Arabidopsis thaliana: one gene and its partner. The protein of the gene in region 2 interacts with the protein of the main gene of each other region in a pairwise test. Each region holds a gene or a part of one and is shown on either strand. Other genes may lie near its edges. The genes, in order: TAP46 and PPX1.

Region 1 (5,156 bases), on a different chromosome or scaffold from region 2:
AAGAAGAAGAGATTGCATAATGAAGCAAAAGGGGGAGATTCTTGTGAGGTTGGTTCGATTCAGGAGATATCAGAGAAGAATGTTGATTTATGTGGGAATGGTAATAATGGAGTCTTACGCAAGGAACTGAGAAATGGTTTGTTGAGTGATCATCATCATAGACAAAAGGCGAAACAGATTTGGAAGAAACATGTTTGGGTTGTGTTGATGTTTGATTTCTGCATCTGTGCTGTTTTGTTTGGAATTTGGCTTTGGATTTGTGAAGGGTTTCAATGCATTCAAGGGTAAAAGTTATCATCATCTGTGTACATCTCCAAATTCATATTCTTTGAATCTGCATCAAAATTTGATCATTTGACATCTTTTTTCTGGGTATCCGTTTTTTTGGATCAAATCTGATCCCTTTTGTTATCTCTCTGTTCTTGTCAACTTTTTTCATCTTCTTTGATTTTTAAAGTCGCAAAAAGTGTTGTTTCCAGGAGGAAAACTAGGGTATAGATTGAATCCTGGTTTACATGTTAATGATGTTGTTAATTGTACTTTGGAAGTTAAATCATTCACAAGCAAAATGTGTGTTGTTATTATCTCTTTTTTTTTTCTCGCTTCTCTTTTGTTGTTTGATTCCATAAATGGTGCTGTGATTGAACGTGGGTTACACAATAATAGAGGACAACAAAAGATGGTCTCAGATCCAGTCACACGTTAGTATTTTACTAGATATATACATTGTATCTTTAGTAGTCGGCGTATTTAAAAATAATATTCCCAACGAAAATGAAAGTGAATCCGTGAATCCAAAATCTGTAAGTCTAAGGCTTAAGAGTAGAAAGATGATTACATTACAGACATTATAATAAGTGAACGAAGAGGTTTTGGAAATAAGAAACAAAAGAGAGGGAGAAAGTGTTAAATAATGTGTGTCTCGGTCTCTAGTCTCAGCCACAAGGTGTGAGTTTCTTGTTACCTGCACCGCGAGGATTATCATCCTTCCAATCATCGAAAGCTCTAGCTTTCATCACAGCTTCTTCGTCTTCATCATCATCTTCCTCGTCTTCTTCTTTTCTTCTTAGAGGTTTATCATTGTACCATGAGGTGGTTGCTTCTTCAATGGCTTTTTTCGTCTGCTCTTGCCAATCATTCATTATGTTCATCTCTGTTAACCCAGCATCCTCTATGCACATTGTTGGCATCCTACAAAACCCAAGTTTAATCACCATTTTTAAATCTCAAAAAGGATTAAGATTTTGTAATGAGCAATATTTTGTGTCTACCTGTGACTTGGTTGGAAGACCTGAGCTATCATTCTTTCTCTCTCGGTAGAGAGCGGTCCACCCACGATGCTTGCTGGACCGAATATAAGAGGTTGGTTCTTGTGTTCGTGACCTTGTGATACCGAAGCTCTTCCTTCTAACACATCTTGTGCAAATGTGGCACAAGTGATTGGTTGTGCCGGTTTAGAGTACTGTATCCTTGCAGCAGCGTCTCTGTGCCAGGTTTCAGCTTTCTTTGTACGATCATCAAGAGCATCCCGAGAAAATCCACCCTCTCCATCCTGATCAAAATATCATAACACGTTTTCTTCTTTTATATGTTTATCAAATAGTTTTGTTCGCACCTAAAAAAACTAACACCACGGTAAGCTACCTTCAACTGTCTTTCCTTTATTGCAGAGAGCATTTCCTCTTCTCTCTTTAGCATTTCCAACAGATCAATAGCCTGTAACGAAGTTCAATCATAAGATAATGCCTCCTCAACTTGTGACAAATCATAGGGTTCTAATGAAATGATTTTTAGACAAACCTTACAAATAGCCAAGTTAATTGAGGAGAGCCAGGCCTGCAGAGGAAAGCAATAAGACAAGAAAGCTTAGAAGAAAAAATCGAATTAGAGAAAGCAGCAAAACAAAAAGTGGGACAAACCTCTCTCTCTTCTTCGCTGTCATCATCTGGAATATCATCTTCTCCAGATTCAACCGGAGTCGACAAAGCTGATGCTTTAGTGGAACGTCCACGTCGCTCCTTCCTCTCTTTAATTTCAAGAAGCTTTGCCTCTGCAGCCTTTTGACGTTTGAACCGAGCTATCTACAAAGTACCATAATCATGAAGACACAACACGCATTTCAAAATCCGAAAACTTTAAACTTCATTCTCGTCAGAACATAAACAAAAGAAACAGGGCTGAATCTACCTTGAGAGCCCTTCGATCAGCAGGTGCACCAGAACCTCCTCGTGAAGAAGCCTCCAACTCCTCATCCGGAACAAGCTCCATTGCCTCACAGAACGAAAAGAACTCCTAGACACAATAACAAAACTATACATCAATCTCAAAAAAAATCCAACCAAATGCTCATTCCCACTTGCAATAGCATCAAAGGGATACAAAAACATGTAAACACTCAGCAGAAAACTAACCTTCAACTTAGCATACGAGGCTTTGACAATCTGAATCCGGTCCTCCTGTATGATTTTCTCTGTCAACTCCGCAAGATAATAAGGCACCTATAATCACAAGACAATATAATCCCTCGTCACTTTATAGAAATGTCAACTCGCAACACAATCTTATGATCTCAACACAATCTTATGGTCTCCACACAGAGTAAGTTCAATGGAAAACGTTACAATCCAAAATCTCAGACTCCATTTTGAATTTCAGTCAGTAGCTAAAACTAGAAGCATCAGGACAAGCTAAAGTTTTTCACTTTCAGATCTTTCCACACCAAAACTAATAACAAAACTAGAATACAAACAAATTACAAAAATCCAAACAACAGAGACTCAATTGCATACCAAAAGATATTTGAGATTGTTGGTGCTAATATCTTCTTTAGTCTCGTTAGACGAAAACAGCGCCAGCTTCCCGATCATATCTTCGCACTTCTGAAACATCTCACATCCTTTCTTCACAACATCCTAACAAACCAAAGGAAAAGAATGAACTAAGCATCCCCGGAAATGTCCAATTCAGTAAAAACTCGCGATTCGGATTCGAAATACCCATTTCAGATAAACACCCTAATCGAATCTGTATATAAAAAAGAGGTAGAAGCTTCCACCTGATCAACACCAGACTCTGAAGCAGCAAGATGAATTTTCCTAGCTTGCTCGAATAGCACCGATAAAGGCATTTCCTCCATAGCCAAACCACCCATCACAGGCAACAATTCAAAATTCCTTAATGAAATCGAATCCACAAGAATCGAGTTTCTTCGAGAAGAGGATCGTCTTTTGAATTTTTTTAGGGTTCCAAATCGAAATCTGACTAATTTACCACGAGTACACACAGACAGAGGAGAGAAAATGTTAACCGCGAAGAGCTTTATAAGGGACGGTTGAGATTTTGCCGCGTCAGGTGAAGTAGATAACTCGAATTCTATTAGCCGTTAGATCTGTCCACAACCTCAAAAGTCAAAAACCGACTCAGTTGTATAAAAATATCAAGTCAAAGATCAGGTGCGGCGGGTGTAGTGTAAAACCGCCACGAATGTGATTGTGGCTATGGTATATGAATGTTTACTGTTTTTTTTCTTAATTTGAATGGAGATGAAATTTTCTTGATTTTTGTACGAGTAGGAGTATGAATAAACTAGTATCGCACCCGCTGTCTAAGCAGCCCGAATTGTCGTAGTGTTATTGATTCGATCGACCTATAGCAGTAAGGAATGGTGGATACCGATAACTAAAGCCACCTCAATCGCGGTGAATCAGCTGGATCCAAAGATTTAGGAACATCCAACAAACAATTCATGAATCGAAAACGAAGAGGTGCATTGATTGAACAGAGCTTACTATATATACTATATATGACTGTCACCCATTACAGTCTACATAGCTTGAAAGGGAAATGGATACAGAACTTAAATGTTTGACTTTCACGCATTTCACTCGACATATCTTCAAGAGGAAAATGAATTGACTGAATAAACTGTAGTATGCTATATACACAGCACAATAATCCGCATTATTTAATCTCTCACGCACACCCGCGCAGAGAACAACAGCCTCCTAAGCGACCAAAGCTAGAGGGATGCTTCAAAAGTTGACCTGAGATGAGAACTGCAAGTTGAGAGAAACTACTTGCCAGATCTAAAATAAGATAGTCATATGCGATTCATTAGGAGACTTTGGGAGTGAATGGTTCTTACTTCTTACGAGAATTGAGCCATACGGCAAGAGAAATCTCAGTTACGATGATATTGGATGGCTGGGTAAGGGTAGCGAGTGGCGACTTGGCTGAAAAAAGGTTAAATTTACGTATTGAGAAAAAATGTGAAGAGTAAAAAATTAAAGAAAGTAGTTGAGGATGTTTATGAGCAGAACCTGAGTAACCCCAAAAGACTTGTCGTCACCCATTTTTTCAAGTCAATGAAAATGCCTGCGAACTTGATCACGATTATCTGATATGAAAGAACAGAAAGAGAGTATATATGGTTTAGGGATATATAAGAAAAGACAAATGTTGTGTTCACTTGTAAAGAGGACTTACCTGAGATATGATAGTTGAGGTTATTGTAACGAGAAACATATTCTCTCTAAGGACTTCTTTGAAGGTTTGGTCTACACTTTGGATTTCAAACTCATTAAAAACCTGCGTTATTTTAGAAAGATAGAGAGATGATCAACATATGAACTCTAATTAGAAGAGTGGGAAAAAATCAGATATTACCAGGTAGAAGACAAAGGAATTGAATATCAATGTGTTCATCATTTTTTCGGCATTGCCCGTCTGACCATGCTTCAGCTTCAGTAGCTTCTCAGAATTTATGAGTACCAGCGAGAGCACTAGGTAAAATACCTGGAGGAAGGTATTTCATGACACAAGCATTATTAGAGGTCTCCAAACCAGTGTGTTTGTCTCTAATCTAAATAATTAATTAGTTTAATATCACCAAGGAATTGTATTTGCTCCTTGGAAACTATGAAGGTGTGAAATACTTAATCTGACATTAACGTCCACACATGATCAATCGAGGATTTTACCCTACATACCTGAATTATCATCTTGGACCACATCGTCTTGGTTATAAGAGGATCTCTGAAAAACAAAAAATGTACACATGCATATGTACTATCAGTTTGTGTATATTCACCTAGAACAGATAGTGTGTTTTAACAAGAATTGCAAAACCAACAGTTTCTTCAAAACCTTCAGCATCA
Region 2 (5,244 bases):
TCCTTTCCTTATATGCAATTCATTCATTGTCTTACATATCATTACATCGTTTTTGTTTCTTCGCATTGGCAGGTGGGCAATTGTATACATTGCGCAGATGAACCCTCTCATTGTCCCTATCTTAAGCGAGGTGGAGTAGAAACCATTCTACTCAAACTAGGAAACCAATGCACAAATTTGAGTAAGAGCCCCGCTGCTCTTTCTGTATCTTCTTCAAACATATTTGTTTTCCCCTTTGTAATTCTTATCGTGGTGTGGAACAACGAAACTATCCCCCTCTTTACTCAAACATATTCTGTCTCTCATTCAATTCTTGAACAGTTTTCATATACTCAAAGACTCTACCAGAGAGTGAGTGTATTGTTGATGAAATAAAAACATTTGGCAGAATATTCGCCATTTCCCATCTTCATCTCCTACCAAGGAAGGAATTTTAGGATTTTCTTTTTGTTCATGGCAAGTTTCTATCAGAACCAGTTCGATCTGACATGGCTGTCAAATTGTCCTAATGCTTCCCTGTGAATTCTATTGATATAACTGTGAGCTCCAAAACTGTTTGAGGTCTTATCTCCTAAGAAAGTACAAACTTGAATCAGGACAAAATCACTCTTTAACTACCAATACACAAACACTCTTTTGACTACAGTTACACCAAAACCGGAAACAACAACAACAATATCTTTTTTAGACAACCCCAGTTCGATCAGTCTTTGTGGCCTAGGTAGAGCTCGCCTGAAACAACTCTATTGTATATTCTTCTGCACTGCAACCTAAACACTGAACGAATAGTAATTCTCTTCCTCTTCAACGGAGTTGAATATTGACGCTAGTTCGACTTTGGGAATAAGGTTTTCGAAGTTTTGCCCATTATAGGAAGTAATCAGGGGCCGGCTTTTTGGCGGGAGGCCCTCTCGAGTCCTGCATATAGAAAATATGTCAGTCTACTTATCTGCTCAACGAGATCAGAACGGGAAGTAACATATTACTAAAAGGGTCATACCTGCTGGGCTGCATCAAACACACGGAATTCTTTATTTAGATTCTCGTCAAGCTCTAGAATTGAAGCCACATTACCGCATCTGGAGCATAAGTGAAATAGGAGTAAAAATCAAGCTACAAGAAATGAGGATAGATAGACTGAAACAGACGGCTCTGAGAATCTTATTTACCTGTAACAGTAATTTGGGGCTGACCACACTGTCACAATCTGGCTATCAAACATCCATTTGTAACCCTCCATAACTAGTTGATGGGCACGGGCTATGTAGTCTATGTTGTTTGAGTGGTTAAAAGACGTGACAACACTGCCACCAAAAAGGAATCCGGCACCACGAGGGCTCAATCCCCAGCCATCAACAATATCTTCAGGATCAGACCATAGGAGATCACACATGGCACCATCATGTGGTACTTCTTGCTTCCGGTCAATTGTCCTAATCTGCCATAAAGGTATGGTTCCGTCAGTTAACTAATTCTAGTTGGAAACTTGTAATTATCAGTAGAGAGAGCTCTTATATCAACCTGATCAAGAGTCATAATAGCTGGAGAAAGACCACCATGAACACAGAATATCTTGTTCTCCACAACAGCTGAAAGACTATAAGAAAAGACAGATTAAAGAGTCGGAATATTCCAAAGACAAGTCAAAAACTGAATATAAAGAAAGTGAATGCTGCTTTGAATACCTCATGTAGTCAAAAATGTCGGTGCAGTATCTCCAGACATTTGAAGAGCCATATTTACGCAAACACTCATCATAAAATCCATAAACCTACTAAAAGCAGACTTTATGAATAGTCTGAATATATACATACACAAAAGCAAAATTTTCAAATGAGACTGCATTCACCTGTGTGATTTGCCTGCTTTCATGGTTTCCTCTGATGAGAGTTATGCGGTCTGGATATCTAACCTAAGAATATCAAAGCAATCTACTTAAGCGATTCCAAGAACCAATTTAGCAGAAGAGATTGTGCAAAACAAGGAAACCACAACAAAGTAAAACACAGTCCAGAGAGTTACCTTGAGTGCGAGTAGAAGTAGAAATGTCTCAACCGAATAATATCCACGATCAACAAAATCTCCCATAAACAAATAGTTGGTCTTAGGACAATCACCCCCAACTTTGAAAAGCTCCATCATATCATAGAACTGCCCATGGATGTCACCACATAACTATCCCAATGGAAAAAGAAAGACAAGTATTAGCAATTCTTGCAAATCATAAGAAACATCAATGGTATCTACTCTCACTTCTTAACCCTGTAACTTCACTGCCCGTGAAATCTTTTGACTTGTAACAATAGCAAGAAACAAAAACAAGTCTTTCACTGGATCCTAGGAATGATATACCATTTGATACAACATTACGAATCCAAATTATAAAGACACAAAATCTCCGCGCCTATTTTCTTCAGATTTATTGATTAATAAGCTCATAATTCCGAAACCCAGATCGAGAAGTAAGGTAAAGTAAGAACTTACAGTGACAGGGGCATCAACTCTCTGAACATTACTCTCTTCAACAAGAATTTCCATGGCTTTGAGGCAAAGAGCCTTCACCTCCGATTCGCTCAATGGTTCGCATCGCTTAAGCTGCCCTATTTGCCGATCTAGGTCTGACATTTTTACCTCTCCTCTCCTCTTCTTCCTCCTTCTATTACTCTTCAGCCACCGGAAACGATCCTTAATCTGATGAATAAGAAGGAATCAACCAACCCTCGCCAAAAAGAATCTGATATTCTCCACTGTCGAATGTATTAAGCTCGTCGTCTTCTTCCCAAGGAGAGAGAATTAGCTCCTCTCCGCAGGAATGTTTTTTCCCCCCAAGGTTTTTCTTTCCCTCCTTATGGTTTAGATTATTTTCAAAATCGCCTCACTTCTTTTCTGAAATTACATATTCGTCCAGAATGTGTTAAGTTCACATAATGGGCCCAGAATATAACTTTATAAGGCCCGGCCCACATATATCAAAGCGGCCATTTTCGTAATTTCTCCACGGCGAGAAGAGAAGATAACGGCATTTCGATCGGAGTTTTGATCGGCGACGATGGAGAGAAACGTTGAGAAGATGCTGAACAGAGTTTCAGTCGTGTTCTTAAGCATCGGAACAGTGTTAATGGTGATTATGATTCTCCAGACGCCAAAACTTGTATTTCACCAGAAGCTCCATCGAAACCTCATACGCATTTTCTGAGATCTACATGCGATTCATCGCCTCGTCAGCATCTTCCTCTCCCAAAGAAGAACGCTCGAATCTGGTTCTCTGGAGCTTGGAAATCGCGTCTATCCTCCTTCTCTACCTACTTCCTCCGATTTCGCGATCTCGGATTCATTCAAAATCACACCAAAGCTCTCTGTCTTTCCGACGGAGCAGGCCATGCTCCGATGGCTCTTTCTCAGATCGGATTATCCGACGTTACCGCAGTTGAATTGGTTGATTCGATTCCTCTTGTGAAAAGAGCTGATCCTCATAACCTTCCGTTTTTCGACCGTGTCTTTGATTTTGTCTTTACTGCACATCTAGCTGAAGCTCTGTTTCCGTGGCGGTTCGTGGAGGAGATGGAGAGGACGGTGCGACGCGGTGGGTTTTGTGTGGTTGCGGTTGATGAATGTAGTGGAGATGATGTTAGAGACATTGCTAGGTTTTTTCATAATTCCAAGATCGTTGATGTTGCTAATGTAACCTTAGAAAGAGTCAAAAGAACTAGTATACTATTCAAACTTCAAGACTCTAAAAGGACTAGTATACTATTCAAAGTTCAAGACTCTCTTTCATGAAGGTGTTTTAATCTTTTCTTCTTTTCTTTTAAGACTCTCCTTCATGAAGGTGTTTTAATCTTTTCTTCTTTTCTTTTGATTGCGTTGATTCATAGGTCCTTTCTGGATTCTCAGACTGCTTCAATGTTCATGGAGTGGAGTTAACTTTGAGTTAATGTGACCATATATTTCGTTACACTACTATAGAGTAAGTCAGTAATAAATTTAGCAATAATAACTAACAGTGTAAAATTGGAAATAACAGAAAAAGGGGTTGGTACAAAGAGAGACCAAGGCAACAAAACATACAGAAGCTTTTCTTTAGAGCTGCAACTTATAGTATAACCATACAGAACTGGAAAAACAAAAACAAACATAGATCTCTTAGACCAAAAGTCCATACTACTACCCGAACCTTCATTTACCGTATAGGCACAAGCTTCACATTGATCGATTATTAGCTTAAAATGGCTCGATCAATTACTTAACATAAAGGATACTTTTAGTAGTATGCTGTCTTGTCTTCACTGATACCAGCGTAGATTTTGGCACAGTACTCGAACAAGCTTCCATCGAAACACCGCCTAATAGCTTCTTTTGACAAAAACCCTTCTTCATCCCTTGCTAGCAAGTACAACAGTCCCCACTCTATTTTGCCTGCGATCCTAATACATACATGTAGATCCAAACATTATAACTACAACAACATTGACTAATACTTTAGTTTAACACATGCATTCAATAAACTAATGAAAGGGTAAGAAAAAGGAAGGCTAATGCTGTGATTGTACCATCCAAAAATGTCCCAAGCGTCACGGTTTCCTTCTGTCATCTCCCATAGTTCTCCAAGACTCAACTTGTCTGGCAAGGTTTTCGCATATTTGCTAAATATCAACTCAAGATTCACCGGCATAAACCTGAAAAGCATACGGAAGTTATACCATATGCATCAGTCATCATATTTTCTATCAGTCAACCGTTTTTTTCAAGATAATATGGTCACTCACCTTCCTTCATTGTCATATGTTTTTGAATCACTTCCATGCTTTGACTTGTGTATGTTGTGTATGTATATAGGGAAGAAAGGTGAAGGTAACCACCCCTGCATATAATCAAGTAGAACACTAACAAAATGGACAACGGATTTGGATATGATAATTTCCGAGTCTAGAGTAGAATCAATCAAAGTTTTGCGATATATGTCAGCAGAGGAGGAGAGGTGTTACCGGAAGAGTGGCATAGCTAAGGGTCAGGTTGATAACAGCGGCTATTATAAGCGACCCAATGATATTGAAACCAAGCATTCGCAGTCCTAATCACCGGTTGGGATCAACTTTTTGTACATATAATACTAACGAAAAATTTGAAGTTGAAATATCTATATATACTATATAGACATACCAGAGTAGGTCTCCCAAGGGTAAATGATGCCATTATCATCGATATCGAAGAAGGAGACATGCTGTTGAAGAACACTAAGTCCGT

The links.
Region 1: the proteins of PPX1 (region 2) and TAP46 interact in a two-hybrid assay, tested with the Arabidopsis thaliana proteins (one study listed by BioGRID).

What each region holds. Positions count from the first base shown.
Region 1 is NC_003076.8:21,484,719-21,489,874, forward strand, and holds TAP46 (2A phosphatase associated protein of 46 kD), read right to left. Parts: upstream 3,325-5,156; 5' UTR 3,152-3,324; coding exon 3,056-3,151; intron 2,913-3,055; coding exon 2,790-2,912; intron 2,499-2,789; coding exon 2,412-2,498; intron 2,293-2,411; coding exon 2,188-2,292; intron 2,082-2,187; coding exon 1,920-2,081; intron 1,837-1,919; coding exon 1,801-1,836; intron 1,717-1,800; coding exon 1,645-1,716; intron 1,553-1,644; coding exon 1,272-1,552; intron 1,192-1,271; coding exon 936-1,191; 3' UTR 599-935; downstream 1-598. Other genes in the region: AT5G52990 (SNARE-like superfamily protein), read left to right, coding at 1-288; AT5G53010 (calcium-transporting ATPase), read right to left, coding at 4,181-4,232, 4,320-4,396, 4,486-4,587, 4,666-4,794, 4,989-5,034. UniProt on the Arabidopsis thaliana protein: Involved in the positive regulation of the TOR signaling pathway. Acts as a negative regulator of PP2A catalytic activity. Plays a positive role in the ABA-regulated inhibition of germination, probably throught its interaction with ABI5.
Region 2 is NC_003075.7:13,469,530-13,474,773, forward strand, and holds PPX1 (protein phosphatase X 1), read right to left. Parts: upstream 2,958-5,244; 5' UTR 2,626-2,957; coding exon 2,485-2,625; intron 2,176-2,484; coding exon 2,023-2,175; intron 1,913-2,022; coding exon 1,850-1,912; intron 1,772-1,849; coding exon 1,686-1,771; intron 1,598-1,685; coding exon 1,522-1,597; intron 1,439-1,521; coding exon 1,170-1,438; intron 1,080-1,169; coding exon 1,001-1,079; intron 919-1,000; coding exon 868-918; 3' UTR 501-867; downstream 1-500. Other genes in the region: AT4G26710 (ATPase, V0 complex, subunit E), read left to right, coding at 73-139; AT4G26730 (S-adenosyl-L-methionine-dependent methyltransferases superfamily protein), read left to right, coding at 3,050-3,121, 3,226-3,780; ATS1 (peroxygenase 1), read right to left, coding at 4,262-4,424, 4,551-4,676, 4,767-4,861, 4,986-5,071, 5,161-5,244.